3 linked regions of the Drosophila melanogaster genome follow. The protein of the gene in region 1 interacts with the protein of each later gene in a pairwise test. Each region holds a gene or a part of one and is shown in the gene's direction. Other genes may lie near its edges.

Evidence for each region.
Region 2: the proteins of Pep (region 1) and CG33557 interact in a two-hybrid assay, tested with the Drosophila melanogaster proteins (one large-scale study listed by BioGRID).
Region 3: the proteins of Pep (region 1) and Sid interact in a two-hybrid assay, tested with the Drosophila melanogaster proteins (one large-scale study listed by BioGRID).

Annotation. Positions count from the first base shown.
Region 1 is NT_037436.4:17,636,887-17,650,765, reverse strand, and holds Pep (protein on ecdysone puffs), read left to right. Parts: upstream 1-5,729; 5' UTR 5,730-5,875; intron 5,876-6,686; 5' UTR 6,687-6,779; coding exon 6,780-6,787; intron 6,788-7,039; coding exon 7,040-7,403; intron 7,404-9,510; coding exon 9,511-9,740; intron 9,741-10,712; coding exon 10,713-12,261; 3' UTR 12,262-12,663; downstream 12,664-13,879. Other genes in the region: Krn (keren), read left to right, coding at 234-887; Ndfip (Nedd4 family interacting protein), read left to right, coding at 1,522-2,325; CG43085 (uncharacterized protein), read left to right, coding at 4,326-4,385, 4,445-5,152; CG7497 (uncharacterized protein), read right to left, coding at 13,057-13,323, 13,465-13,820. UniProt on the Drosophila melanogaster protein: May play a role in the process of early and late gene activation, or possibly in RNA processing, for a defined set of developmentally regulated loci.
Region 2 is NC_004354.4:10,003,728-10,013,101, forward strand, and holds CG33557 (uncharacterized protein), read left to right. Parts: upstream 1-5,482; 5' UTR 5,483-5,507; coding exon 5,508-5,734; intron 5,735-5,843; coding exon 5,844-5,974; intron 5,975-6,031; coding exon 6,032-6,126; 3' UTR 6,127-6,322; downstream 6,323-9,374. Other genes in the region: Dna2 (DNA replication helicase/nuclease 2), read left to right, coding at 6,844-7,389, 7,447-8,484, 8,544-9,374.
Region 3 is NT_033777.3:28,665,415-28,675,353, forward strand, and holds Sid (stress induced DNase), read left to right. Parts: upstream 1-5,289; 5' UTR 5,290-5,323; coding exon 5,324-5,369; intron 5,370-5,423; coding exon 5,424-5,822; intron 5,823-5,872; coding exon 5,873-6,540; 3' UTR 6,541-6,607; downstream 6,608-9,939.

The DNA of each region.
Region 1 (13,879 bases):
ACTTAGGTCGAGGAGCATAGGTTGTAATTGTGAGAAGGAGGCGGCTGGCGGTGCTAGGCAGGCAATTAACCCACACAGACCCGAACACGAGCTTACATTTTTGATTTGTTTTTAATTGCACTTCGTTTTTGTTTTGCAGCCGCCTGCCAGCCAAAGCCAAGAATTCCACATTACAAAACACCTTAAACTGCATTGCCACATTCCCAAGTAAGCTGCCATGAGTTAAGATCAAGATGCGAGCCCAGGATCTGCTGCTGCTTGCCACCGCTTTAATCGGCGCTTACCTACCGCTCACCGCCGCCTGTTCCTCGCGTGCCATCGCTAAGCCGCGGCCAACAGCTGCACCGATCCTGCCGCCGGATAATGTGGAAATATCCACAACGCCGAGACCGAATGTCACCTTCCCGATCTTCGCCTGTCCACCGACCTATGTCGCCTGGTATTGCCTGAACGATGGCACCTGCTTTACGGTGAAGATCCACAATGAAATCCTATACAACTGCGAATGTGCGCTGGGATTTATGGGTCCGAGGTGCGAGTACAAGGAGATTGATGGCTCGTACCTGCCAACCAGGAACCGTGTGATGCTAGAGAAGGCCAGCATTGTTAGCGGAGCAACGCTGGCCCTTCTGTTTATGGCCATGTGCTGTGTGGTTTTGTATCTGCGACACGAGAAGCTGCAAAAACAAAAGCTGCACGACAGCACCACAACCACAACGACCGACGGTGGCTGTCAGAACGAGGGCATGGACGAGGTGGATGGCTTGCGACCCTTACGTCCAGTGAGACGTCCCTTTGGACCCTGCCGCATCCTATCGCTGGAGGAGGCCCACCTTCAAGCGAAAGCCTCCAATCGCCCCAGGCATTGCAACGAACTTTTGCGCTAACTAATTAGCCTGGCTGCTCATTTGTTTTTAAATGTCTAACATGTCCAACTGTTTATTTTAACTGCTAAACGAAACTATTATTTTTGCCATCTGATTGAGATGGCGAATGCCGTAGTTCTAAGTGCCTACTGACGTGCCTATAACACATTTAGATCAAGTATTAACGAACGAAAACTGATTGCTCAGAGAGAGATAAAAATAAATCTAGATATAATTCAATGCAATTTTGGCAGCTAGCCGCCCATTTATTTATTATACACCTAATTTTATTAAAAAAAAAAACGCGTGAACTAATATCGTCAATAAAAGCGAGAACTAAATCACCAGCTTTACTTTCAATTTAGATAATGCAAATTTCGAATACCTTTAGAATTTGATTGGGAATAGTTTGCACAAAATTCACCATGGCCTTGATTTTCCTTTTATTTCAGAGATGCATGTAAATACTAAACAGTTGATCTGTTAAGCTACACGAAAATAAGGATATCTTAAATTTAGTATGTAAGAAAGAAAAGAATTTCTTAAGAATCTTCTTTTCTGAGACGTCACCTTAGGCTGTCAAAAAAATTCATATGCTTTGTAACCCCTTAAGCACTGAATTAATTTTCCCGTTTTCCGTTTGTAATTTCCAGTCATGCCGCACAACAACCAGCCGTCTCCCGGGGATGATCAGTTGGGACCGCCAAAGGCGGACTTCAGTGCTCCGCCACCGTACGAGGCGAACGTTGGCCATGGCCAGCAGGTAGCACTGCCGGCTCAGATGCCACCGCTGGCCTTGGCCACACCCGATCCCAGTCAGATCCCGATACAGATGCAAGTGCAGCTGCCGAGCCAGGCGGACCTTATGAATGCACAACTGCCGCCAGAAATACACGGGAAGTTGCCCACGTACGAGGAGGTTCAAATGGAAAAGTCGCTGAACGGAGAGCTGCCGCCCGCCTTTTTGACTTTACCCTCCTCGCAGCAGCTACCGCCGCCGCCGAATCCGCTACTGCCGCCAAATCCGCTGCGCGATGGAGCCGCTGCTGTGCGATCTGCCCAGCCGGCACTCACGTTCATCGCCATCGATGCCAGCGATCCGGAAAATAGTCTGTCCACCACCGACAACTTGCTCGGCACGGACATCATGTTCATCACGGCCTTCATTGTGGCCTTTTTGTTTAACTGGATCGGCTTCCTGATGCTCACCTGTTTCTGTCACACAATCGCCGCCCGATATGGAGCATTGTCGGGATTCGGATTGTCGCTGGCTAAATGGACGCTGATCGTGAAGCACTCGACGGACTTGGCCTCGCACGAAAACTCCTGGCTCTGGTGGCTGATCTGTGCCTTTGGCTTCCTGATCAGCATACGCGCTTTAATACAGTATGTCAGCATCAAGCGATCGTGGCGCCTCCTTTCCGCCTCTGCCCAGGAACGGCTGCTATTCTTTTACTAGGTGCACCTGGAGGCTTTCCAGTGGTCGTCTTGTAAATACGTTGTGGGTGGCTAGGAGGCTCGAATGCTACCAACCAACCGATCCCAACACCCTCTATTCCCCAGACCCAGCACACGAAAAATCAACGCGAACTTATTTTGCAGAGTTCTCGAAATCACTATGGACTTGAAAGTATTCCCTCAAATGTATTAGTCAATCAATTTCTTTAAAATAGAAGTAATGTTATTCAAAAATATACTTTGTATATCCGTTTACTACACTTTCAAGTCACAAACTTATTGGGATATCTCGCAAGTCCAAAATTGCATTAGCTTTCAAGAAAGTTTCAATTTTCTTTTAAATACTAAATGTATTGAACAGTTTTACATTAAGCCAATTGTAAATTGTAAACGGTGCAGCGGCTTAGATGTTGCGAAGAAAATTCGATTTCGAGAGCTATCCGAGTTGTGGGTTATCATTTTTTGTAGTTTCTGTGTTAACTAGAGACGTTAAAAATGTGTGTTAAAAAGTGAAAGGCGAATGCATCTTCGCATCTGCTCTCCCCCAATCGATTATAATTGTAAATGTATGTGAAATGTGTATGGATATATAAATATCTCACCCTAATTGATCCCTCTACACCCCCACAAAATCTCCCTAGGCCTTTTAGTGGCGCCCATGCACTTGAAACAAAGACACAAAACAAACCAAAAAATAAATGGGATACAAAATTATAAAGGGTCGAGATAGAAAAGTATGCCACCCATATCTTTTGTTGAGCCCATTTTACGCTGTGGTACTTAATTAATTAACTACACAAGAGCCAGCAGTAATACGAATGCTAAACACACACAAACAACTATTGCTAGAACATATGATTATTGCCTATTATAACGTTTAATTACTATGTTTAATCCCTTTGTATGTAAATCAAACGATGCTTATGCATTGCAAAGGGTGCAGAGTCGCATTATCTGCGCCAGTTTTATGCAAATTCAATAAAATCGAATGATGTCATTCAAATTTGGAACTTTTCTTTGGTACTGCTCAAAATTACGGAATATTGGAAACAATGGACTAAGAAATCGAAACGATTTTTTTTCTGTCTATTTGAATAAAGCTACACAAAATTAAGATTAGTTTTCAGCTTGAATTTGTTGAATCATCAAATCATGAACTTATAGTCGCATCAAAACAAACGAAAATCTGTTTACATGTTCGATTTTAATTTAACGGGAAAACCAGCTTATCAGCGGCTTCGGAATCAACTATTTCTGTATCCTTTTTCGTATTAAGAAACAGACAGAATATATTTCTGTCCGTCCGCGAGTACAGTATAAATTCTTTATCACGAGTTCTAGAGAACTACACGAGCTAGAAAGTTGAGTTTTGAATTTTTTTAGATAAAAGCGTACTTCAGGTAAATAAAGCTTTAACTCAAATTATTGAACTGGTGTGTGTGCTAAGATTATTATTATGTATTTTATATTTTTATTTATTGCTTTATAAAATATTATTGATATGAATCAAATAGAATAGTGATTTTGTTTGAGTAACCATAGTGTTTCTCTTGATTAATTAAATATTTTCTTCAGCTTGGCTTTTGACATTTTTATTAATAATTAAAGCCTACTTTATTATTAATACCGACCGAATAAGAAACAAGATGGATTTCTCAAAAACAATTACCAAAGTTTACAAAGGAAAGCAATAATTGTAGTATGCTTATATTTCATCGGAATATTGATAAGAAACTCATGTATTGTCAGAACCGTATTCTTTTGTATTTTAATAATTACCTCAATTTATTTTATTTAAGGCAGTTACCCGCAAAACACTCCGCAAAACCAAAATTTCAGACATTCTAATTCATCCCAAAGGTCACAAGAAAGGTACTCAATGTATGTACACATGTACGTAGCTTGATAACAGATTTGCTGATGGGTCTCATTTTGCGACGATGAGTATAAAAGGCCTTTTTCTGAGCAAACATAATTCAGTGTTCATTGTTCGTCGGTAAGATGAAGGCAGTTACTTCAAGAGTGTTGGGTTCGATCCTAGTGTTATTATTGATACATTTAGTAAGTTTGAACTGGGTCATTATTTTGTATATACTAAATATTTCTTATTCTTTTAACAGACATCAGCAAAAGAAGCGGAGGTTCACTTAACAAATCCTCCAACAGAATGCAGACTGGTGTGTAATCCAGGGTATCATATCGTGGTTAAAAAGGGTACCTTGTATCATAATGGTAGGAAGCTTGACGATAATGCACGGTATGCGCCGAAGATGGCGTGTGATTTGGAGAACAGTTGCAACTTTAAATTTACGCCACAAACATTAAGTTACATGAATACAGCAATTAATGTAGGCACACAACTAACTATTAATTACGACTGCAAGCGGGATAACTTCCAAGGAGATCCGAGAAGGATAACAGATTATACGAAAACGCAAGGATGTCCGCAAGACTCTTTTGTTCAGAAACACGTCGCATATTTTAACGATGAAAATATTGCTCCCAAGAGGGATACACCTGTCGCGCAAAGGGAAAGGGAAATGATTGCCATGGGCGTATGTGCTCAGGTCAAACGTTTTAGGCAAAACAACCCAAGAACGCCCATCGATCCACATCTTGGCACAGTGTACTTGATATTTGACAATAGAACAAGTAAAAATGATTTCATGCCGAGTCCTGATGTTAGAAAGTGCCAACTTAAGCCCAATTCTCTGACCAAGACATACAAGTATGATTGCGAGAGGAAAGCGGATAAATGGACATGTACTTTTGCCAGCAAGGGAAGGGACTTGGCCATAAATGACAAGATTACAAGTCACTTAGGATGATTATCATTTTATTGTATAGGACTCAAGGCTCAAATGGGAATGCAAGACACAGCGGACTAATTTTATTCCAAACGAAATTTTAAATATACATATATGCAATTGATCAAATTCGTAATAAAAATATGAATAAAACGATAATTTGTTCATTTCTTTTATCGCGATGGAATATAGCTCTATATATCCGTTGTTATACGCTAATAATATTATGTTCTATGATCGAAGTTTTAACGCTTTTTGTGTTTTACAGAAAAACGTTTTATGTCTAAAAGCGCATTTTTCACTTAAAGGATCCGAGAAATTTTAAAAGTGGCTTTATGATAGAATTGTATAAGAGTTTATGCAAGGATTACAAGCGGAAATTCTTTTGAAAAACATTTCTTTATTTAAAGCTAACATAACTAAGACACAAATTTTGAAAATATTACGGTCTATACCAAAAAAATATCGATATTTTGTCCTTATTAGCTTATCGCACTGCCATCTAGATCTGGAAAAAATATCTATGTGCTTCTTTTCGATAGTGATGAAAATTACTTTTATCGATACTTCGCGCACGACCATCTCTAGCGCAGCGTCAGACGTGATTCGATTTTCTTTCGTCGTTCGGATCGGAGCGTAATATTGGATAGGCGGAGTGTTTAGACAAGGGCGGCCATCTTTCTGAAGTGAGGAAAACTGTAGTCCAAGTAGTCCAGTCATTTTGACAAATCGCCGTTGCAACACGTAAGTTTCTAACTAATTTCACAGTTTGCGCTGCGCCTCTGTCCTTTACTTGTGTAGGCTAACTGAAAACTGGTGCGTATGTATGTATCTGTTGGCGAAAATTTTACTTTTTCACTTGCTACCCGGGCGTCTGAAAATAGTAATTATTGATTTTCCTGGGGCTCCTTGCGTGTATTTGTGCATTAAGTAATGTGATAATGAGGTAACTGCTTTTTTACGAGGCCTTGATTGTGGATTATCGTCGTAAGCGTTATTTATTTGCATTCCAGAGCTTAGACTAATGCGTATAGTATACGTCATTGGTGCAAAACATGTTTTTATCGCGATTAAATGGGTCTTTGGCTTTTTTTTTCCTATTCTGTACTCTAACTTTCCCTCCCTTTCGCACTCATACGGCCGGCCGGCTTTCTGGCTGAATCAATTACTTATACACACTCAGCGTCTGGGCCGCCATCTTTTTTCCACTCGCAGTGATAAATTTTAGGTGTTTTTTGTTACCTTCATTTAAATTGGCCAAAAGGCGTGAATGTGTTGGTGTCGCACAAACCAGTTTTACATGTGATTAATGTAAACTGCTGACTGTAGCGCCAAATTGTTCCATTTCTTTTCCTTTTCCCCTATCTCTTTGCGTGTATGTGTGTGTAAGTGGTGTGTGTATACGCACGCTGGCTTGTTTTACGGTTTTTGATGCGGTTCCATAATAACTACCCGTAGATGTGGATAAAGAGATCTGGCGATTACTAACCCAAATTAATGAATTCCCGCTTGCATCTCAACATTTGTTTTGTTCTTTGTGCCGTTTTACTTTCAGCTTGTTTAAATAATTTCCTCGCTTAAACACAAACCCTACATTACACATCCCATAAACACTCCCAAAAACAGCAAAAAAAAACCCATCAAAATTATGGTCAGGTATGCTGCACATCAACCCCGAATATTCGAAATTATTTATGTATCCCTAGTTCCCAATTCCAACGTGATTAATTATAAAATTATATTTTTCCAATATTGTCGATATGTTCTTGTTTAAAAATTGTCAGCTTATGTAGAATAATATATCTTAAACTGCTTGGAAAATTATAATTTTATTGAATAAATTTGTCCCCCTACCGCTTCGAAAGAAAGTTATAGTTATACTGATAAGTGAATCATGTCTTTTTGCAGCGTAAAGGTCAACGGAAATCCGCAGAATCGTTTAGTGAATAACGCAAAGGTCAACGGCAACATGGCTTTCCGTGGTAACCAGAACCGCAACCGCAATTTTGGAGGTGGCAACAACAACTATGGTGGACCCATGGGCGCCAACCGCATGGGCGGTATGAACATGTCGCCTTGGGAATCGCAGAATCCCGGCGGCGGACAGTTTGGTAACAACATGCGACAGGGTGGCGGTCAGATGAACGCCCAGGCCATCAACTTGGCCAACAATCTGCTGAACAATCTGTTCAGGAACCAGAATCCACCATCGCTTCTCGACTTGCCCCGCGGCGGCGGTGGCATGGGAAATCGCAACCAACGTGGTGGCCCGGTATGTACAAAAGTTTACTTATTCTCGAATTAGTTGACAATGCCAACCGAATGAATTGTTATACTTACCTATGTTGTTATTATTTATGGGTTCGTGAACTGCGAATCGTATTTCTGTTGTGGAGTGTCATATGTTGAAATAATTTAAAAAATTCTACTAAACATGTAGAATTCAATTCAAAGCACATAGTAATCTTAATATTTTGTCTGTTTACTTTTGTTGTACTCAATATAAACTCAACTTAGGATGCCTAAATCGTATAAACATTTTGTAATTACGTGTATACCTTTTGGTAATATACTTGCTCTCCACAGCAGAACCTTTTATTTTGTGTTTTACCCTTAGTTAGATCGTAATATTGCTAAATGTAGCTAATGCTTTTCCTTTAAAAGATAAATCAAAATGATCTTAAACCTAATCTTAGCTTGTAGTTTACTAAACTAAACCGACGACTGAAAAATAACGAAAACCAGCGAAAAGAATATTGAAAAAAGTAATAAGAACTTTGTGCAGTGTAGGATGTAAGGTTGTCAAACATTAGGATTAATGTGGTATTAGGAGGATTTCGATAAAAACGCATTTATTCCATTTAAAATGCAATGCTTTTTTGTTTCGTAGAAACTGCACAAACGAATAAGAACCTGATTATTACACCGAAAATAAGAAATGACAATTTTATAAAATAATACACACGTATTGATAGCGAAATGTACCAATTAAAACATGTACCGCCAACACTTGTTCCACTTAACGATGAAAAGAGTATGATGATGATCTCCATATGTCAAGATTGAATCATAAGTAATTTATATGCAATATTTTCTTACTAGTTGTACTTAAGCATTTAATTACATTTTTACCATATTTATAATTCGATTAATTAATTTCCGAAGTTCCATTGCCAAGTAAAAGAAACTTTCTTGGCCGAACTCAATTTGCCACAACGCTTTTCTAATTTATCAATTATCTATTTTTATTCTCTCTTCCAAAACCAAACAATGCCAAACTCAAAAATTCGATGCTTTTCAATACACCTCCAAATATCGAATATCGAAACCGCATCGTCTTGCATATTTCGAATAATGCATTCCATATTGTTGTTGCTGCTCCGGCATATATACTTGCTGTTGTTGTTGTTGCTGCCGCCGCTGCTGTCGTTGTGGTTGTTGTTGTCGTTGTCGCTGTTGCGCGTTGTTGTTGCCGTCGATGATGACTCTTCCCATTTGCAATAATCCATTGCAATCAACAAAAATCTAATCCCCATTGACGGCCAACAATATTTTCGAATATCCAAATGAAATTGAATGCAAAACGCAACGCACACGCACTCAACACACACGCACACGCGATGCACACACACACGTTGTGGCCAATATGCGAATCTTCACCAACGATGCGATACTGTAAACTGTACGATGCTTCCCGTGCGACGCCACTGATTGATTGATTGATTGATTGATTGATTGACCGATTGCCAAATCGATTGACATTGATCGCCATGCAATCTTCTAATCTGCTCTGCTCTGAAACCGAAACTGATCCGATCTGGTACTGGTACTGCTTGATGGTGCAACATAATTACATCCAAAACCACAATATGAAATACCTATTAATATTTTATGTCTAATGCCAATTCATCGCCAAATTCTTCTTCGACGTTCCTGCCTCTGAAACTCAAAATCCGATTTCCATTTTTAAATGCCACTCGCCGCCACACGCCAACGAATTAATATATATATATGTTTATGCAATATATATCAACCTATCCCCGTCGACTGATTGGCCGCCGCAACTGCCCCGTCGATCTGACCAAAATCAATATATATATACCATGTGCTCCATGTACTTATGTATACTTTACTATATATCAACGATTTATTCCCACAATTATCTATAATGTGTTCAATCTGATCGCTCCGCCCCTCACACAATATTGTAAATGGCCAACCGCGCCATATTGTCTCCGATCTTTCGAAAATGCTTTGTATCATTAATGCCTCTGTTTGTAAATCAAAACGATATCAATTCACATATGCCCCATGTGCGCATTCCGAATTGTGCAAATATTTTAATGTCAATCCCAAATGATAAACGAAACAATGTATAGATGGTCAGTCGCGGCGGCGGTGCCGGCAATCGTCTCAATAACCGTCGTGGCCAGGGAGGTGGCTTCCAAAATCGTGGCGCCACTGGTAGTGGACCCAAGCCCCCGCCAAAGCAGGGCGGCGGCGGTATTCGCAAGCAAAATGCTTTTGATCGTGCCAAGAAACTTTTGGCTAAAAATGCCAACCAAAATAAAAAGAAGGAACCCACTCCTGGCGAAAAGAAAATCGAGAGGTAAGACTTACAACAACTTTTCCAAAACAAAACCAAAACCACAACAAAAAGTATAAATATTTTGCTGCCCAAAATCGAAAGGATTGATTTCTTTCACTAATATCAAAACAAATAACGAACTTAGCAGGGCGAATAACAACTTTTTACTTAAGTACTTAGGCATTCCAATTCTCTAATTGCGTTCCCTCATACATCTCTAAAAAAAAAAGTATATTTAATTAGAATTAGTTCTTCATTAGGGATAGTATATTTTTTGATGCTGTTTATAAAACTGTGTGTATGTGGGGCAACTTGTGCGGGGACTCATTTGGGTAGGGAATTGTAAATGTATAAATTTATGTGTTGAAACTACATACTATTCAAGTTCATACTAATTTTTTAAAATATAATTTACCTTAAAAGAAATTGTTTAAATATAATCTTTTCTTTCTTTGACTTTTGTGCACATTAAAAGTTTTAAAAATATTTTTAAAGTTAAAATGGAGAGAACTTTATAATTTAACTTCATATTCATGCTTAAATATTTAAATTAAATGTATAAGCTCACAATAATATTAAATTTCCTCTCCTTTTTTATTGATTTGGAAGAATATAAATTTTGAATAAATATATCATAAATGTAAGATTTCATAAGAAAAGAAACATGCTTCTACATACCTAATAATTTTGTTTAAAACATAATTTGTGGCATATTTCTTCTCCTTGCAAAGTCATCATTCTCACTATAGTAACGCATTTTTATCATAGCTAAAAACATTTATTATTGTATCACCTATCGCCACCTGTACTGTACGTATCATAAGTCTAAATTGCAGCGAGAACCACTATACTCCTATAATATAATAATCTCTTCCCAATAGCCAGACAACCAGACGAATTCCCGTCTATGAATTTCAAATTAGAAAACTAATGAATCTTTCTTTTTCTATTCCTTCTCGAACAAATCGAATGATCCATGATCAATTTTAATAGCCCTACCAAGGAGTCTCCATACGCTAGTGTGCCGAACGACATGTTCTACTGCCATCTGTGCAAGAAGCACATGTGGGATGCCAACTCTTTCGAGAACCACATCAAGGGCCGCACCCATCTGATGATGCGTGAGGGCATTGAGGAGAGCTATCGCCTCAAGGCCAACATGATCCGTCAGGAGGCTAAGATCGCAGAGCAGCTCAAGTCGATCGAGTTTGACCGCTTGAAGCGCATGGGCAAAAGCAAGCAGCGTCAGCTGGACTACTGCACCATGTGCGACCTGAACTTCCATGGTCACATCTCGACCCATCGCAAGTCGGAGGGACATTTGCAGCTGAAGAAGTTCTTGCACCCCAAGTGCATTGAGTGCAACAAGGAGTTCGCCACTCGCATTGACTACGATACTCATCTGCTGTCCGCCGAGCATCTGAAGAAGGCTGCCGAGAACAACACCAAGGTGGGTGAGCGCAAGCGCCAGACCTTGCCCATCAGCACCGAAGAAGAGGAGACCCGCGATTTGCGCCTGCCCCAGAAGCGCAAGAAGAAGCCGGTCAAGAAGGAGGGCGAAGCAGCCGATGGCGAGGCTAAGAAGGAGGGTGCCGGCGATGGCGAGGGTGCCGAAGGTGATGAAGCCGAGGGAGAAGAGGCCAAGGAGGGTGAGGAAGCTGCTGACGAGACAAAGGAGGGCGATGAGCTAAACGAGAGCCAAGAGGAAGAGGAAGTGGCACTGCCCGTGGACCCCGAGGACTGCATCCTTGACTTCAACGACGGCGATGAGATCCCCAGCGAGGTGGATACCCGCCTACCTAAGTACAACTGGCAGCGTGCTGTCGGTCCCGGTCTGATCTCCAAGCTGGAGTGCTATGAGTGCTCGGTGTGCAGCAAGTTCTTCGACACCGAGGTGACCGCCGAGATTCACTCCCGTACGGCGACTCATCACCGCAACTTCTTGAAGTTTATCAACGAGAAATCAAGCGATACCAAGATCGCACAGAAGCGCGCAGCTGCCGCCCTGGAGGAGAATGAGCGTAAGAAGCGCAAGGTTGAGGAGGCAGAGGCTCCGGCTGCCGAGGGCGCAGCCGAGGAAACCACCGAAGGCGCTGAGGGTGAGCTGTACGATCCATCGGAAGCCACTGGCGATGACGAGGACGTGGAGATGGTGGATGATAATGCTGAGGGCGAGGGCGAAGGCGAAGGTGACGAGGAAGCCGAGGCTGAGGTCGAGGAAGATGGCGCCGGCCAGGACAACGGCGAAGAGGAGATGGAAGCCCAGGAGGAAGAGGGTCAGGAGGGCGAGCAAGAGCCCGAACCTGAGCCAGCTCCAGTCCAAACTCCTGCCCCGGCTGAACCTGCACCACCAGCCAAGACCCCAGCCAAGACTCCGACCAAGGCAGCTGCTCCAGCCGCTGTTGCCAGTCCCGCAGCTGCGGCAACGTCGGCAGACGCCTCTCCATCTCCGGCCAAGAAGGCAACGCCTGCTCGCGCTGCCGCCGGAGCCAAGGCCACGCCGCAGCGACAACGCGCCCGCGGTCGCTACAATCGCTACTAAGTAGACGTCGAAGGAATTCGTAATTTAACATAACATAAACCTTAATATACAAGAAAAAATTTACATTCACGCCCAGGAGGAGGATGAAGAAAGAACAGATCAAATCGATCTCTTCCCGCAATTTGACATTTGCATCCCAATTTGCATATACACTGAATGAATGGAAACTGAGAAGAAGACGGTCAACTTTTAGTTGAAACAGTTGAATATATTGTACGACGAAGCTTCTTGAAACTGACGAGGGAGAACACAAACAAGTTAATTGAATCGAGAATCGTATTACCTACCCGATTCCCCCCTCACAGAACGCATACCATGCCAGCCAGCGAACCAACCATTCAACTTATGTAATCATATAAATTCTATAATAAACAAAGAAACAAAACTAGTTGTAAAACAAACACGATTCCTGTGTGTCATTGCGGGATATGGAAATTGGCTTTCAATCTGTTGCAAAATGAGATTCAGTAGCAGTGTATATATCTATGAGGGCTGTACGATTTCGTTTTAGCGCACAATTAATACATTTAATACTTGATCTTTTTACACAAGCGTTATATTTAATGCTACAAATCGGTACAGAGATTAAGTGAGGTGAGAATACATACATATAAGGAAAGCCTTGATATAGTAAGATACGAAGTGGGATATATTTATTATTTACAGCTTACGAGACTAGGCGCTACTCCCAGGAATGCTCCGAGGGAGGCGGAAACGCTTTTTTGAGTGAGATCCCACTGAGTCGGGAAATGGGATTAAGTACTTGGGGGCGCGCGGTATGAAGATCGAGTGGAATCAGTTGAATTCCAGAGTATTCGCCTCCGTCATCGTCGTACGCATGCGGCTCTGGTCGCTCTGGGAACGACGAAGTCCGCCCGGACGCCATCCGCTCCTCCAGCGCTTAATGCATCCCAGCAAGGACCAGTTGATGGACTTGGAGCGACTCAGCACATAGACATACGGATCCGAGGTGAAGTGCAGCGCCGTAAGAACATCGGCGATGATGAAGAACTTGTTCGATGCGGGCACCCGATTTGGAGCTATAGCCAACGGGATGGCGATCTAAAACGGAGATAATTGTTGATAAAGGCCATGTAAATTTATTATATTATATTAGATTTGCATAATACGGAATGGTTGAAGATACTAGACGTTTAGTAGTTACTATCTGCAAATTTAGAATGGTATCCACCCAGTACTCACCATCTGTGGCATCCAGCAGATGACGAACGAGATGCTGAGGAACGCCATTAGTTTGGCGAACTTGATCTCGACTGGCGAGGAGTCGGTGGCCGCCATTGTGACGCTAACGCTGTGCCTGTACTGCCTTGCCGGCTGTACACTGCGATGGCTGTTTCCGCTTCCGGTGCTCAGCTGCGTCTGGTAGAGGGTGGTGCCGCTGCTGCTCTCGGGATCGATGCTGATGGCACTGTTTTTGTCCCTGGAAACCAGGTCGTAGTGCATATGCCGCTTGGCCGTGCGACTCCTTCCGATCACACAGAGCAAGGTGTGGGCCACGAAGAGGTTGCAGGCCACGATTACAATGCACAGCAGGGTACCTGGAATACATCGATGGTCAAACCAATATTTGAAATGTAACCAATTTGATAGGAACTTA
Region 2 (9,374 bases), on another chromosome or scaffold:
AAACCCGATTCGATTTGTGCAATGCAAATAACTCACCACCAAAACAATCAAATCAAATCAATCAAAAAATTACGAACAACGATCCACCGAAAACTGATAACCGATAACTGATAACCGATAACGATAACTGACAACCGAAAATGTATACACAAATATATCGAACGCATTTGTGCACGTATTCGATAACTGCCCATCAATCAATCGATCGATTTCGAAACCACAATCGACAACAAAAATCGCCTGTGCAAATGATCAACCAAAACCACCTAACCTCTTTGTCTCCACCTAACCTCACATTCACCCTAACCTCACAAACTTTAAAATAACCTCACTTTTCGTGAACTCACCAAATCCGAACACACTGAAAAAACGAAAACAAAACGAAATGAAACACACACAAAACATACTGTTGAACACACATAACTCGTCTCCAAATCCTACGCTTTGCCTTTCCCTACCCCCTCCACCATGGGCTTTCCCATCACCCCTTGAACCACCCCCTATACCCCCTCCTCCTTCCTCTCCCCACACGCACATAATCAACGTCCAAATTCCAAATTTTTAAACATACACGCACAATAAAAAACAATGCAACAAATGCCCTACCAAAAATATTGCAAAAAATCAAATGACAAAAATCCAAAACGAAAAAAAAACCCAAAAGAATGGAGCCACTGATACCCAGATCGATTTGTCGGCCATCAACAAGCAATTGGAGGAGACAATCCGTGTGGCCCGCCAGGTGAAGGAGGCGGAAGCAGCCGCCGCCGCAGTTGCCGCCCAGTCCCTGTCCCCATCCTCGTCCTCCGCCTCCTCGCCGGTCGCCCAGGCTCCCATTCCCCTCAAATCCAACGAGCCCATCCAGCTGAGCTTCAACAACGAACTGCCCAGTGTCTCGCCGTCCTCCGGTGTGAACGAAAAGGCCCTGAGCACCAATGATCTCCAGCTCTCCGAGTCCAAGTCGCCGGCGATCGATGAACTCACCCTAGACTCTGCGGAGGAGACCGCCGATCTGGACGATCGCAACAAGAGGTAAGTGAAGGACTACTCCTTCAATGCAATGCTAAGTGCATGGCTGACTAATTTATTATATAATATTCAAAACACTTGTACAAAAAAAGTTTAGGCACTCAACTAATCATACACCTTTCTTCCCTTTCCACCCCTACAACAATTCAACAATGATGCAACATTTCAACAATACTTAATACATTGGAAATCCAACTGATAAATTGCAAACAAAACAAACATGAAACAAAATTCAACAACTTATAAATATAAATTTACTACTCAACAACATTTGCATCACACTGAACAACCAACAACAAATTCGAATGGAATTACCTCAACAACGAAATTCAACAACATACTAATATCAATAACGATCAACAACATACGCTTTGAATTGGAATGGCCTGACCAATAGTAATCTGTTCAAAAGGTTCCTCAGCTTTGGCGGTGCGGGTCTCGCCGGCGGCTCAAGCGGCGGTGCAGGAGGTTCGCCCAGTGGCAATGCTCTGGGAGCCGGCGGCTCCGGCAACTTCCTGCTGGATGTGGTGAGGGTAAGTACCACACCCGTTGGCTGAACTTTCAACCGTTATCCAGACATCTAATTGGTATACTTTACTTCCACGAACAAACAAACAGCTCTTTTCGGGCAGTGTTCAGACCCAGCAGGGCGATGAGGCGGCCAACTCGGTGGGCGGCAGTGCCGGCAGCAGCAGTAGCAGCGGCAGTTTGGGCGGCGATGGTGACGCCGATGGCGATAGCACTCGCAACGCCGATGGCTACACCGAGGGCATTCCCGGCCCAGTCACGCGCCTCGTGGTGCTGGCCAATCGCGGTCTGGCCAATCTCGTCCAGGATTTGATTCTGGTGAGTAACAGTAACTAGGGTTTTATGTGCTATTAATCTAACGAAATCTATGTTACCTACCCGTTTGCAGCGCGTTGCGGCCACCAGCGAGAAGTTCGTGAACTTCAAGGCCAAGCTGATAACGGCGCTGATCTAAGGTCAAGGGTCAGCACCGGCCACGCCCTCGCCCGAATTAGTCAAGTCACCAACCTGTACAGAGTCAAATGCAGCAGATCATTCTCTCTAACTCGCTAGCCCCAAACGCCCCGAAAGTCTGTCTCTATCTCCCTCTGTCTCACCCCAGAAATAACCCCCTTTCCAATGCCCCACACACCCACTCACAACAACCCCACACACACACACACACACACAAACACGGCCACTCATTCACACGGAGAGAATTTTGTTCGATCAAAGAAATTTCCCGGCAATGTCAACATCTTTTTTTTAAATTCATAGCAAATTTTTTTATAACATAAACGAAATTAGTTAAAACAAACTAAACACAAAAAAAAAATTATAAAACCATAAGCAAAATTGGCAGAAAAAAAAACACGAATCAAAGAATTTTATTTATATGTATCAATAAAAGAAACAAAATCGAATCGAAAGTATGGAAACAACATTCATATGAATATGTTTAGAAGAAGAAACGCCTGATACAATTATTCCTGCCCTAGTACTATATCTCTATTTTCCCTGACCCGTCTATCCATATCTTTAAAATTTTCAACGGCTTTTGTAAATATTTTGCTATTTGCAAATTTTCCCCCACCACTTTTCCTAAACCCAATTTCCCTAATTTGTAATTGACCTCTTCTCTCCTTTTTGTGTATATTTTGTGTTCTATTAAAAAAAATCATGACTGTGGTGTTTTATTTACTATTATTTTTAATTATTTTAAACGAAAACGAAACGAAGAAGATGAATGTGAAGATAATGATGATGATGATGATGATGAAGAAGAAAGCTAAGTGGATGCAGAAGACACGTCAAGTTTCTATTAGATGAAATGTAGCCGAGCTTAATGTTTTTTTTTATTTGCTGTTGTTGGTCAAAGAGCCCCAAAAACACCCATACACAAACACGCACATTCACTGAAGCATACTCAATATATAAAACCGATTCGATATGCCTATTATATATATAGAACCGTTCTTGTTCGACTTCCCTGTGTCCCCTGGATTTGTTTGTAACTCCCCATAATCCTAAGCGAATTGTGTTTTTCTAACTATGATTTTTTTCTAGCTAGCTAAGTGAAACTTTCGAAAAATGTGTATAAAATAAAATAAAATGATTATAAATATTTCATATTCTGTGTATTCCATCTTTTAAAAAGGGGAAAATGTTCATTTATAGACTGAAGTATTCTAAAATATATTTGCAATGGTCGGCATAGAATGAGTTAAAGTGGGTTAAAACTAAAGGAATTGCCAATTTGAACGGGTAATTATCAAGGCTAGCCATTCCTACCACTTTTTTGGCGGATTTAGGGAAATTGAGTTTCGAGTTAATTTTCATCAAAATTTGTAAAAAATGGCCAAAAAATAGAATTTTTATTTGTGGATACAGTTCGATTGGGAATTTAAATACGATCACAACGGTGTATGGCATTCCATATTCAGACAATTATTTTTAAAGTTGTGGCAAAAAAACTGATTATTTGAATGAACGAAATTCGGAAAAACGGATTTTGCCAAAAAGTTAATATTTACAAACGGAATTTTCGTCATAACTTGGCTGAAAATAGTCATATAGATAAAAGAATAACTGTTTTGAGCAGCAATTACCAGTGCTAACGATCCCTATCAATTTTTGAAGAATTTAGGAAAATTAATTTTTGGGCATATTTTCTCATTTTTTATAATCGTCAAAATTTGCAAAAAATCGGAAAAAAATTGAATTTTTATTTTTGAACACAGTTTGATTGGGAATTTAAATACGAGCAGAATGAGATATGGCATTCCATATTCACACAATTATTTTTAAAGTTGTTGCAGAAAAACTGATTATTTGATGACGGAAATTGGACAATTCCTAAAATTCGATGTTTGCGAAGCGGATTTTCTTCATAACTTGGCTAAAAATGATCGTAGAGATAAAAGAATAACTGTTTTGAGCAGCTTATTACCAATGCTAAACATTCCTATCCCTTTTTGACGGATTTAGGAAAATTAATTTTTGGGTAAATTTTCGCACTTTTTGTAAGGGGTAACATCATCAAAATTTGCAAAAAATCTGAAAAAAATTGAATTTCCATTTGTGAATACAGTTCGATGGGGAATTTAAATACGAGCACAACGGTATATGACATTCCATATTCAGACACTTATTTTTAAGGTTGTAGCAAAAAAACTGATTATTTGAAGACCAAAATTCGGAAAAACGGATTTTGCCAAGAAGTTGATAATTACAAACGGAATTTTCATCATAACTTGGCTAAAAATGCTCATATAGATGTAAAAACAACTGTTTTGAGCAGCTAATTCCCAGTGCTTATGATCCCTATCAGTTTTTGAAGAATTTAGAAAAATTAATTTTTTGGTCAATTTTTGCATTTTTTGTAAGGGGTAACATCATCAAAACTTGCAAAAAATTGCCAAAAAATAAAGTTTTCATTTTTGAACACAGATCGATTGCAAATTTAGTTACGATTTCGGCGAGGTATGACATTCGCTATTTGGACAAATATTTTTTAAGCTGTGCCCAAAATACTAAATATATTACAGTTTGCATGGGAATTTAATTACGAGCTTAGAAAGGTATAGCATTCCATATTTGTTTATTTATTTGTTTATTTTCAATGTTTTGTACGAAATCCGATTTCTTGAACTTTTTGTTTGAAAATACGCAAAGAATGCATTTGATTAGGTGAATAAATTTAATAATATCGTTGGCAAGCCATCCATATTTTACGTTCAATTAATTATACTACACTATGATGGCCAAGTATTTTAAAATTAAAAATTAATGTGAGAAATGTTTTTGGGCAATTAAGAAACGTTTGCAAATATTTGTACAATTTCGCAGTGAGTTGCTTCGTTGCACACCCTCTCGATTTTCTCGAATCTGGTTTATAAATATCTGGATTATCCATCTCGGCACATTCCATACAAAACTGCGTTGCTTGAGTGAGCAAATGAATAAGTGACTGAATGACTGACTGACTGACTGACTGACTGACTAACTGAATGACTTACTGTAACGCATGCGTGGCATGTGTGCGGTCCAGAAAAACCAAAAACAAAAATAAAATAAAATAAAAGTAGCGGGGGAGGGGAAGGTCAGGGTCTAAGTGCCACTTCCGTTTTCCACAAGCAAACAAACAAATTGGCCCAACAAATCGCCGATGGACAAATGGGGATGGATATATAGATGTTACTTATCCTTGGTACGCCAGCCACTTGATGCACAATTAGTATCGCACAAGTGCCCGGCATTCTTCACTTTTTGTTTTGACAAGTGCACACATTTAGCGAAGAAAACGCACTCGTTATTGTTTCCCATCTTCACGCACAATTTGTCGTCACTAGCCGATGACTTAATTCATTTAGCAGATCCCAAATATGCAGCCGGGGCATATAGAAGTGGATATAGTCATGGGCTCGGCCATAGAGTCCGTTCAGTTGCTCGCCAATCGCCGCTGCTAACGGATGGCGGTCTCATCGTCCTCGTCGTCGTTTTCCAACTACTTGATGGCGGTATTTGCCCAGGATAGCAATAGTAGTGGCAGTGCCAGCGGAAGTGGAGCAGCCGCCGACTCGGAGGACTCCCAGATTGGCCAGGAGGCCAATCCAGGTGGCCAGGAGAATCAGGGAAATCACAGGAGGCGACCGCCGCGCCAGAAGATCAATGCTAGAGAGCGCTATCGGACATTTAAGTGAGTAAAAAGTATATAAATGTTAATAAGCAAAACATAGCCCTAGTTGAAAGTGTATTTATTAACAATTAACCATTTAATATTTTCTTTTTTTCCTAAACAAAATCAGTGTTAATTCGGCCTACGAGGCATTAAGAAATTTAATACCCACGGAGCCCATGAATCGCAAGCTTTCAAAGATCGAGATCATCCGCCTGGCCAGCAGCTATATAACGCACCTAAGTAGCACCCTAGAAACAGGTTTGCTTAAAAAACGTTATTCATATAAAAGTATACTAATTTGTTTAAATTTTTAAGGCACTGAATGCCAGCCATGTTTGCTGCACAAATACGAGAGCGAAGGAATAACTAGACGTATCAGTATCTGCACCTTTTGCCTGAAAACCAAATGAAATTAATTATTTATTGGATATTTCTAAGAATATTTATATAATTCGTCGTATCTGTTGCATTTAGGAAATCGAATTGGGCGCCCAATTGAAGCGCCACCTATGGTAATTTTCTGGAACGAACTTCCACCGAATGTGAACTGCTTGCCACAACACAACTGCTTTACTAAGCTGTTGTAGTTCTTCAACATTTCGATCTCTTGTGTAGGATAAAAATAAATTAAAATTAAATTAAATTAACTATAATATTGAAATCTATTTAAAAATTGGTGGTGATAAGAATTCAAAATCAACACGAGCAATTTAATATATGTCGCTAAATTGTCGCCATCTGTGCGGATGTTTTCCACAACTGCGCCACCTGTACTTCGTTAAGATGACTAAAATTAGTAGCTAGATCTGAAGTATCAAATATATACATATAAAAAGAAAACAAAAAGTAAGCAGAAGGCAGCTTAAGCAATTTTATATATTAAATAATTGTTTGATACACATTACTTCATTTTCTAACAACTGTTAGTGATAGAAGGAGATTTTAGTTTAAAACACGCGGTAATTTTTAAATAGCTACAAGCTAGCTAAATAGCAACGAGGCGCCGGTGTGTTCATAAGTATTTTACCACACGCAGAAAACAGTCACTCTGTTCCCGCCAAATCATTTGTACGCATAACTGAAATAAAGTAAATAATTTGATTTAACAATAACAAATAGCCCCTTCGATGGCCACCAAACGCGTGCTGACGCCTAATATTTTGGAGAATGATAACACTGACGTGACGTCATCCAATCCACAAAAGAAATTCAAAGAGCAACTGGATTTTTCGTCAGACGAAGTGGAGAACATTGATTGGGGTGACAATGATGACTTCGATTTGGCGCTGATTGCAGCTATGGATTCTATATCCAATCATCGATTGGAGCTCACCAAGTGGCAGCGTTGCGAAGTGGTGCGGCTGGAGCAGCTCCCCAATAGAAAAGGCCTTAAAGTGCATGTTAAGAGGATTTCTGGCGGGGATCCGGAGACAGCTGATTGCCAACTGCTACCGCCGTGGAATTGCATGCCAATGCAAGTTGGAGACACTGTCTCCCTGTTGGGCAAGTGGGATCCGTCTGCAGGATGCTATGTGGTCGATAAGGAGCAGGGCTACTGCGTGTCCCATCCGGATTTCCTCATTTCCGGCACCACAGTCACCGGTTCCCTGTTTTGCAAACGGAAATCTGTTCTGCAGGAACGATTTCGCGGTCTGGACTCGGGAAACTCTGTTGTGAGTACATCTCGATATCAGCATAACCCAATTTATCCAGAATGTATTCCATTTCAGATGGTCATTGGCACTCTGGTGCACGAATTGCTGCAAAAGGTTCTACGCCAGAAGCTCTTCGATAAAAAACACATTCAATCTGCCCTCCAGGAGATGCTGGCCAGCTCTTCTTTGGCTCATTTACTCTATGCCAGCAATCTCATCCAGGTGGAAATGGAGGATCATCTGATGAAATTCATTGATCCCATTGTCAGTTTTGTGGCCCAATATGTGAAGGGTGAACCGCCAAGTGTTTTGCTGCCCGAAGTCTATAGAGGTCAAATCCACGAGATATGCGATATAGAGGAGAACCTCTGGGTTCCACAACTGGGACTCAAGGGTAAGGTGGATGTCTCCGTAAAGGTAAAAAATCAACGGCAGAGGGAGGAGATCATACCACTGGAACTGAAGACCGGCCGAGCCAGCTTCTCCATGGAACACAAGGGCCAATTGCTGCTCTACCAACTGATGCACTCTGCCCAGGGCAGGGATACTCAATCGGGATTGCTTCTGTACCTCAAAGAGGGACTCCTACGAGAAGTTGCTAGCGGGAGAAACGAACAGAGGGATCTCCTTATGTTAAGAAATGATCTGGCCTACTGGCTAACACGTGAAGTAGCCATTCCGGCTAGCAAGGAGGATCCACTGGAGCAACTGCCGCTACCCGAACCCGTTTACCATCACAGCGCCTGCGGCAATTGTGCCTACAATACCATTTGCTCCAGTTTCGCCCAGAAGGATTCAAGTTTACAGCTAAGCGACTCACATCCCCTCAAGAAACTCATGCCACAGCTATTGGAGCATCTAAGTGAGGCAGACCATGCCTACGTGCAGCATTGGTGTGGTTTGCTGGCTCTAGAAGAGCAACACAATCGGCAGTCCTCGCATGTGAGGTCTTTTTGGACGAAGGACCCTGCGGAGAGAGAAAAAGAAGGCATAGCCATTCGACATTTGAAGCTAGTGAAGGGTCAAGAAGTGATATTAGAAGAGGGACGCTATCGCCAGACCTTGGAGCTCGGTGAAGAGGCAGATCCCAGTCGAGATCTCAGCCTCAGTGGGGTATGTTTTGCCACAAAATCCACAGATCACTATATTCTTATCTCAACTCTTTCTTTCAGTTCGACTTGGGCGAATATGTTGTAATCAGTTCCACATCCCGTTTGGCCGTTGCTGCTGGTTTTATTGTATCTATAGAAGCTCGTCGTTTGGATCTTCGGCTGGAGAGGGATCTTAGCCAGCGTTATAGCGAGGAGACCTTTATTATTGATAAGCACGATTCGCAGTCCTTTGCCACTTTTAACTTTACCAATCTTGGTATGCTGCTCTCCGAGGGAGAACGCTTCCAGGAGCTGAGAGATATTATTGTGGCCAAGAAGCCACCAGAGCAGCACAAAGTTCTGCCCAAGATCATCCTCACCAAGGGAGCACCCATTCTGCTGAATCTTAACAAAGTGCAACAAAATGCTGCTTTGCGTGCTTTGACAACCAGCAGTCACCTGTTGATCAAGGGACTGCCCGGCACTGGTAAGACCCAGACATTGGTTGCCCTTGTCAGACTGCTCCATCTTCTCGGAAAGAGTGTGCTTATTACAGCACAAACGCATTCGGCTGTGGACAATCTGATCATGCGTTTGCTGCCTTTCGGATTGCCCATGATGAGATTGGGCTCTGGGTCTAGGATTCATAAGCAGTTGGAGGAAATCAGCGAAGAGAGGTTAACAAAAGACTGCAAAACAGTAGAGGAATTGGAGAAGGCTCTAGGGCAGCCTTCCATTGTGGGAGTGACCTGTCTGGGATGTGGACATCCGCTCTTTCAGCGTCGTCAGTTCGATTATTGCATCGTGGATGAGGCCACGCAGGTGTTGCAGCCCACCGTGTTGCGTCCATTGATTCACTGCAGCAAATTTGTCCTTGTGGGAGATCCAGAACAGTTGCCGCCGATTGTCAGA
Region 3 (9,939 bases), on another chromosome or scaffold:
ACCCACGGACCACAAAAGATGTTAATTAAGAAGCCAAAGTTAATCGATTTGCGGGCCAGCATGTTGATAGCCTCTGTGGCCGAGGGCTTTCATGTTTGTTTGCGGAACGGGGTTAAAACCAACTGTGGCTGACGGCATTCACTTGTCTCCTTGTCTCGGTCATCGGGATACCATATTTGCCGGCTGGAGAACGCGGCTTATGGCAGTCAAAGCCAAGTCCTGCATTCCTTTGAGCCAGGCGTGGCTTGTGAAAATGGAAAAAATTCATCCATCTATCCCGCTGTCCAGTGAAACAAAAACTAAAACTGAAAGCACACAAATGGCCAGCATATAGATCGAGCATTTTCCCTTTGGCCTTTACAATTGTTGCAATGCAACCGAGATTGCAGAAGCACAAAAACGACAAAAATAAAAACAAAAAAGACAAATAGAAACAGAATTAAAAACATTTTTAGATGCTACAGTTGCTGCCACCGGAAATTCACTAATTCAAAGATGGAGTCCGTTCGCTGCAAACTTTAACTTGCACTGTTTCCGCTTCCTCTGCTACAGTTTTTCGCCTCCTCAGCTATTTTCTGGCCAAGATGGGGGTCAGGACCTAAACCTCCACATCCACCTCCAGCTCCACCTTTCAGCTTGCCAGATTTCCTTTTCTTTCGAGCGATTGCTGTGCCATTTCTTTCGTGCTACTTGGGGAGCTTTTAATGTTTTATGCCTGATTGAGTTCTGCTTTCGGGTTCGGGCTAGGGTTTTTGTGCAGACTTTTGTTCTGTTTGCTTTCGCTGGACATTTATATGAGATTTCCGCCTTTGTGGCTTATGTTTTGAGCATTGCTGTTATTAAACTTGCAGCCACTTCAACCGGCTTTGTGCTCCCGGCCGTTGCTAAGTAATGAGATCGATTCTCTTTATTTTTCATTATTTATCCCGCCTCCGCTCACTTTGTTTTCCTATCCACCATCCATCGTCCAACATCCAACGTCCACTTCCTAATTGTTGTGCTGTACTTGATGAATTGGAATTCATAGATGGTTGGCGTTTGTTTGTGGCACAACGCTCATTGATTTTGTGGTTTTTAAGCCCACGGGTAAATGACAACTTAAAATAGCAGATCCGCTGTGAAATTGTCATAAAATATTTTCCATTTGCAAAAGATTCTATTTGGCTGAGATTAATTAATACTTTTGAATGCGATTTGGTGCTGTCATGAAAAGTGATTTTCATTGGACCGTGTTGTGTAAAGGATTAGTTCATTATTTCAGGCCGACACTAGAACCTTAGGCCGTCTTCCGCGTTGCATGTGAGCATATCGTGTGCTCAATTAGTCATTGCATTAGTCGGCTTCTGTGTGTCTAATTGATGTATTTGCCCGGCAACATTTTGTTTCAGTCCAGGCTAGACTTTCACTCCACCAGCCACCTACTCCGCCCGCGTCGGTTGTATTTATTGTGTTGTGCTAAATAAATAAAGCAATTTGTAACGGAGTCACGTAAATTGTAATCTGGCAAATAAATTGATTTGTTTGTTAAAATCGCTGCAAGCCAGCACGAAGGACCGACTGTCGGTCCGGATAGCTGCTGCTTTGATGGAACCGGAGCCGTGGCATCCTCACCCCGAACTATCTGAAAAATATCGATATCCATTACAAACTTGCTGTCAGCCTGTATTGCTGTACCGTTTTACCTAAACAGGTCATGGCAAAGAAGCTGTGGAGGGGTTATCCCTTCAGGTACACCAAAAAAGAAAACGGACCAAATGGTGTTTGGCTTGTTCCAGGACGAGGCTCTGAGTCAGCCGGAGGCATGTTTTTCCTGACCACCTACAAAGTGCAGATTGAATTGTATGCCTTTCGACACCTGAGACACTTTGGCATGAAAACTGAAATGTTTGCTAAATTATTAACCGGATGGCAATGCAATTAATATAATTTATGACTGTTAATTTGCTGCATTCCATGGAAAAGCGTTTATCGTATTATTACTTCAACTACTGGCAGCTGCATTCGATCGGTAAATAATTTAATGTTGCATGCCACACAGCCGGGCAAATATTTGTTTGGGCCTGCCAAAATGAGATTTATCTCGAGGAATTTGATTTTAATATTAAACAGGTCTGAGCTCCAGGAGGCCAGGAAGGCAGACACACTCCCTCTCCAAATCCAAATCCCTATACCAATTCCGGAGACATATGCAAAAGCGGTCGTCTGCCAGGTTGGCAGAGGCCAACTAGTTCAGCTTACTTCCGATGCCAACGTTTTGGTTTTGCCCAGCTTGAACCAAACTCGGTCCGTCTGTCTAACTGGCTGAATGTCTGCATGTCTGAATGTCTGACTGCGGCTTGGACTCTGATTTACAAGCGTAAAATAGCAGTGGCATAAAATATTTAACTATTTTGTATCGACCGTCTGTGAGTCCCAGGATCCTCTGCCAGTGAATTCGTAGTTTGGAGCTCGGAGTTCGGTTCGCCGGCCTGCCAGTTTGTTTTTGCGGCTGCTCTGAAGAGGTTTCCTTTCTGCGGGGTCGGTTTTATGTTGGTTTTTTTTTTTTTCGAAGCATTCTGCTGTAATCCATAGTACACGCTATGTATGTGTTTTGTATTTTTAATGACTTGTTATTGTGGCTGCGTCAGATATTGAAATTTTCGCCACTTAAAGCCACAACCCCATCACACACATTATGGCTTTAATGCGCCCAGCTAACAATGCCGACCAAAAAAGTCCCTCTGTCCGACGCATTTATTAAATTTTCATTAAAATTTATAGTTGCCTCGTCGCTGTGGCCTGGGCGCCCATAAATCAGCAAATTAATATTAGGTTGTGGCAATGCCGTCAGGAAGGTCGGCTGGCCATTGTGCCTAACACGTGGATAAGCATAATTCATGTTCGCTATGGGGAGGGGATTCGCCCACCGTTCCCTCTAAAATTTCTGACACATTCGAAAATATTTCGTCCAAATATGCGGCACCCTGGCATGTGACAAATTGAATGTGCAGCATTTAGCCACACCACTTAAAGCCGAGAGTGCACTTTAAAGATGTACCAGGCCAGCCAGCTTCTCATCCATTAGTCCCCTACTGCCATCGGTATTGGCTTGGTCCTGGCTCCCGAGTCCTTCGTTCTGCTTCATGCCTGCAGAGAGACCCTGACTGCCATGTGGCGTGCAAATAACAAATAAATGGCCAACTAAAACCAACATCAATCAGGTCATGTTTATGCGGGCGTGCTGCGATGAGTTTGCCCGATCCTCTGACTTGGAGCAGTCATGCAGTGGAAAGTGGCCAACAGTTTGCTTGGCGATGCTGCAGAAACCGTGGTCTGTATACACATGTACAAAGCTCTGGGCTTAGTTAATGATGTAAAGGCAGTTAATAAAAAAAACTGGTTGCTATTCAGGCTGCTTTCCCAACGATCTTGTTCTGAGGTTTTTGTTATGACTATGTAATTAAATGAATTTAATGCATACTCTAATTATTATCAATGCGAGCCTAATCAGCCATTTAAAAATCAACTTGAATCATTGATATCTTTGGTATGTACCCCAAAAGTATGCAGAAGTTTGAAAGATATGTATATAAATCGTATCGAAATAAATATGACTAAGATGCCAATTCTTGGAAGCTTGGTGTGGCATTGAACTGATAAGCTCTTAATATATGTACATTTAATTAAATACTTGGCTGTAAAATGTACACTCCAAAGATAAGACATTCAATTGTGTTGTTTGTGTATCCTATTGTAATATAGCTACTTATCTTATCATTCAGAAGTTTCTCTTTAAGCTTATTTTTCGATATCTTCAGTTCTACTTTCAAGCTTGTACCATGAAGATGCACGAGCTACGATATCTAATTATTACTTTGAGCTTGTTCCTAAGTAAGCTCAAGGACGATAAGATTCTTTGGTGAACTAATGTGACAATCATTTCTTGCAGCTGTGGGAAATGTCAAGTCCTTTTGCCAGATCACACAGGCTGAAACATGGACCGATCGACTTTTTGTCCACATTGTTAACAATCGCTACGAGCTCTTGCTCACGGATTAATTGCAACCAAATCAGCAAATAAGTTTGCTGTGCGATGGTAATGCGCAGGTGTTCACCTCCACCTGTCGGAATAATGGCCAGTTCTCTCCACCATTGCCCAGGACGAACTGCTCAAAGGCAATCCCGCCTTCCGTTGTTCCAACTTCGAGTAATATCTGTCCACACACCATGTATTTGGTTGGTTTCAAATACGGAAATACGTTCATGGAGCTCTATCGCAGCTGCTACGACGCGAGAACCATGAAGGCGTATTTCTCCATCAACACGGTCTACCCCACCAATTTAAGTTAGTTCTTATAATACCCTAAGCTTATTTACTCGCTAATTGCAACTATTTTATTACAAAATCCAGAGTCAGATCGGCCGCCAACAGTGTTCGATAAGGATGGGATCATAACTCCTGCAGATGAGGCTACCTTTCAGATGAATAGTATCTACAATCGATTTGAGTATCTTTTTGGATCTGGACAAACATATGTGCCTTCTTCCAGAAGTCTTTCCTTTGATCGTGGTCACCTTACACCGGTTGCCGACTACAGCTTCCCAAAAATCCTAAGACAAACCAACAAGTACTTGAATGTCGTTCCCCAGTACTACAATATTAATCGCAGCAATTGGAAGATAGTTGAGAATTGGGTTCGAGGACAAAAGGATGTGCTAAATGTCTGCACAGGGGCATTGGGTGTTCTTGATTTGTTGAACAGAAGCCAAAAATCTGTTTCGATTTACCTAGCACCGAACAAAAATCCCGTTCCCAGATGGACATACAAAATCATTAGGAGCCTAACCACCGGCATCAAGTACGTGATATTGACCTCCAACAATGGGTGGGAAACCCAACAACCAAACCCAGCATCAGTCTGCAAAGTTACTGCCTGCCCCAGAACTTTGAATCCAACCGGAACTGGATACACCTTCTGCTGTGATCCAATTGACTTTATCAGAAGAAACGTTCCTAATTTGGCAGGTGTGTGCTGGGATAATACCGAAAATGTGTAGAGGTTTCTATTTATCTTCAGTGTATAAACATATTAATGCATTTCAACTTCATTGAAAAAAATAAATGCATCTTTGGAAATACATCGGTTCCAAGCTGATTGACCGACTAATAGGTTATTAATCAGCGATGGCTTATCATTGGGCCGCGTTGAGGAATCTTGGGATTTTCTGAATTAAAGAGATAAGAATAATGACGAATACGATGCTGATAAGAAATGCGTTTGGCTTGACCGCGCTCTGAACGTTTCAGAATTCTTAGTTCGTAAATCAACCTTAAGCTGTGAAGATGCCCGATCTGAAGTATATGTTGACGATTCTAAGCCTGTATTTCTGTGAGTATATATAGAATAAGCTTTATTGTTATCAGAGGTTCAACTGATCTTAAGTTGTAGGAAGTGTTCAAGCGAATTGCTTAATCGACTTGGCTCATTTGAATGCCAATTATGTGTACTTAAGCCAAAATAACGGAGTCTATGATATTCAGCGCAGTGATATTGTGGAAATCCACCAGACGTTGTATCTGCTGTGCAATGGAGGACTTCATCGCACCACATTCCTGTGTCGATATGACAGTGTTTTCAGTCCAGCGCTAAGCTCAGCAGCATGTGCACCACCCGATCCTGTCGTGGTAAAAGTACCAGATACATCTTGTTCCATTCCGAGTGCTACGTTCGCCGTAGGATTTTCCTTCAATGGACGCTTTATGGAACTGTATCGCAATTGTTTTGATGGCTACAGCTTGGCGTTTCAACATTCCATCTACAAGGCTTATCGCTACGTAAACAGTAAGTGGAAAATATTGGTGCAAAAACAGTAGTTAACCTGGTACTATTAGCCGTTCCACGTCCCAATCCCACTTGGCAGTCGGATCAATTAAGTGGTGGATTTGACAATGCCTACGAGGGAAGAGCAACACAAGCTTGTTTGCTCACTAACCTGGGCGCAGTACAGCCGCAGTGTAAATTTGATCGTGGCCACATGACACCGGCTTCTGCATTTATATCCACAGAGCTGAAGAAGTCAACGTTCAGGTATCTAAACGCTATCCCCCAATATCGAGGAGTTAATCGTGGCAAATGGAAGGCCGTTGAGACCTGGGTGAACAATATGGTTAGGGGACTGTATGATAATCCAATCATCAATAATGTACAAATACCGCGTACTTACGATGTCCTTAAGGTTTGCATTGGGGCATTGGGAGTGCATAGACTAAGACATAATACCAATAACAATATGATACCAATTTACCTGTTGGATAATAACAAAATTCCCGTGCCAGAGTGGATGTACAAGATAGTTAGCCATCTCTCCGGAGATAAATGGGTAATGCTGACCTACAACGACGTAAGTCTACCCAATCAGCAGGCATTAAACCAGATCTGCCATGTGATACCCTGTCATCCGGGTCTTAACCTTAATACGAAGGACGTTGGACACACTGTCTGCTGCGATCCGTACCGTTTTATTACCATAAACGCTCCACACTTAACTGGTGTTTGCTAAGGTCAAACTAAATATTTTCTTAGATCTTGAAAATGTGCATATTAAAATAAATATAAAGTGGTATTTGAAAACATTGTTGATTTGTACATCATTTTCGCTTTATTATGACGGCTTATCAGTAACCTGCAACAAACCGCGAAGAAAATTGGAATTCTCAGAATTGCTGCGATAAGGAAACTGTATGCAATTAATTTAATTTTGCAGGGCAATGACCAGAACACATTGAATATAGAATGAACAGAGGGGTTTAAAAAGAACCTACCTCAACCCGGAAACATTGTCTGCCACAGTGATTGCATACTATAACTTTTTATGGTGCTCAACAATTGCTTTATTTAATACATTCACCACTCTTTGTTACGCTATAATATCTTCGGTACATGTTTTAGTTTTGTCATTTTCCGTCTAGATGTCGCACGCGTGCGGTTTTGAATTCTCAATAGTGGGCGCCAAAAAGCATCGACTAGCGCCATCTATTAACAAAAGTACATATAGAAAGAGAAAGGAATAAGAGCGACTGAATAAGCAGCAAACGGAGAGCGAGACAAATATAGGCGTCAAGTGCGCAAAATTCAAACAGGGGAATTTATTTTTAATTTAAAAATATAAGTTATTTTCGTTGACTTAGACTAGAAAATTTGTATGATTACTTAAATATTTTTAGGTATTTAGAATAAAGAGATCCTATAATTTTAAACTATATTTGTAATAATAGTAATAGTAATTGTTAATTGTACTTTAAATTATAAGCCATTAAGTATTTTCCAATTTAACTATTATTTCTTAGCACTTCATTTACACCTTAAGCCATTTGAGGTTGCTTACAAATAAGAGCATTAAATGCACTTTTAAGTGGCCATAAACTATGGTGTCGTTTGGACGGAATTCCACTTCCGATGCATACAACCAACTACCACAGATAATTGTTGCTTTTGGCCAATTTACTTATTGGCTTACTCTACATACTTCGCTGGTGGACGTTGACCATGTTTGAAATTTATACGCACTTTACCCGTCTGTGGCAAAATTTTTCATCTAATTTCATGCACTTGGAAAACCGATTTTCCTCCTGGAAATGTGTTTTTCCCGACTTCCGTCAAGGCGACTCTTCCAAGCCGGTCCACCGCCCAGTCGTGGAGTTGTGGCTTATGTAATGTTTGCAAATTGCAGTTTTACTTCTTCGGCAGTTGCGGTATTTGTTCGCTATGGCCACAGCCAACTCGTTGCTCATACGCCGTGTGTACGGCGGTAGTCTAGTGTCGGCGCTGTGGGCATTGTGCAACTTGTGACACAAATTCTTTGGCGCAGTCGGTGGTAGAGTGGTTTTGTAATTTTGGTTATTTACCCGGCATCGACGGGAAAGGCTAGCCGATGGAGCCAGTGGTCGCCGTCTTTATTGAATCACCCGAGTCCGAGGTACTCGCGTAATTATCAAATGCAGTTTTACCAATCCACAGACACGGCGGCACACAAAAAAAATTCGAATTCAAAACCGCCAACGAAACGATATCAAAGAGCAGGCGGCAAACAAAGTGTGCTTTAAACTTTCTTTTCATGCGCCACTTTAAGCGATCATTTCTTTGGGCAAACATTCGTAGATGTCTCGATTCGTTTCTTCGTTTGTTAGCCGCTTCATTGATTTTCATTTACACCGACAACTCGCCGCCATCGTAATTGTTGCAATTTAACGACGCCCGCCGATGAGGTAACCCATCCTCCGATTTTTGCGGCGAGTGAAAGAGCACTTTTTGTGGCCAAGAGAGCAGGCAATTTGCATTTTGGGAAATGCGACGACATACTGTCGCCCGCCATTTGCATACCAATTTCGGTCTATTGAAAACGACATAAATATTTAGATAAGGTTTTATTTTAAGTCCCGGCTATTTAGTTTCTGCTGCAATTTGCGCAACACTTACCACCGCTTTCACTGACCCCTCCGATTGAGCCGGAAACTCGAAAACTTGAAAACTGACCTCTGATCGGGAAAATTGCTTTGTTTTGACTTTGTTGTGATTCATTTGATTGGTTGTAATGCCTAAATAATGCAGCGTGAAATTCCCTTTGTATTTTAAATGAAGATGTCGAAAAATATGCGGTTTTCTAATTTGATCTCTGTCACGTTGACGTGAAATGTGTGAATTATACAAGTCGTATGCAGAGAAGTTTTCACCGAATGGCTTTAGCTTCGCTTTTTATTAGCGCTACTAATTAAGTTTCGTTTATGTAGTACATATCTTTCTATTTTACTGCCATAAAGAAACCATTCCGTTGATGGGTAAACGACCACCGCATGATAATCGTCTTAAAAGTTCATCACTCTGCTGTGTAGTTCATAATTTTTAAAGTGGCGCGTAACGCGACAGTATGAGGTTGGTATTTAGGACCCATAAGACGCTTTGGGGAACTCTTAACGGTATCGTGTAATGACTTAATTAAGGCGCAACAAGTGCCGTGAAAAATGGTTAAATGAAGCCCAGTGGGCGTAGCCGAAGCTAGTCGAAAATGTGATTTTCAAACGGCTAATTTTAAGCTCATTTTCAAAGATTTGTTGATTAATGTGCTATAAGTGCTTCAATGAGGAAGTAGTGTGGGTAATGGAAATAGAATGGAATAGATTGATACTCTGGAAAAAAGAAATATATTATTTATATTATTTACACTCCCACTGAACCAAAAAAATGTCATCTTTAAATCAAGAATATAAAATGTTAAATGTATATTACTGTTTATACTGTATACTATACACCAGTTATTTATTTAATTATCTGCACAGCTTTTCTAACTAATTACCTTTGCTATAATTTAACAAATTTACATTCCCTCAACAAGTTCGTTGGCTCGGTATGTTCGATTTTTGATATTTCACTGCTCCATGTGCATGACTAAAGCCATGCATGTTTATCTATGTGAACAAACTATATCAACATCGTATAAAAAACAATCTCTCTCTTCCTTTCTCTCTCTCTGGCCCACGATCTCAGGTCTCTTTTTTTAACATCAACTCTCGGCAACTCTCTCGTTTTGCAGCTTTTGCCGCATTTCGGCAGCTCTTGCGCCTGATGCGCGCGTCTTGGGGTTTCAGTTTCGTTCACGACTCCGGCGCGTTTGGCAGCAGCAGTATAAATCGGCAGCAAAGCTATAGCTACAGCATATATAGCTACAAGAAAACGATATCACTTTGTGCTCTTTTATTACGTGTACCTTATACGAAAGAAGCGTTAGTTATAAATCAAATTACGTATTTTACTTGCGCTCTTTTTTTAAAGCACGCTGTTGTCGCCGCGCCCTCACGATTGTCGTTCGAGTCCACGTTTTGAGTTTGAAAACCAGAAAACAGCTGTTACAAGACAAAGCAAACCGCTAAAGGCAAAAAAAAAAAAAAACGCTCGCTCACTCGCG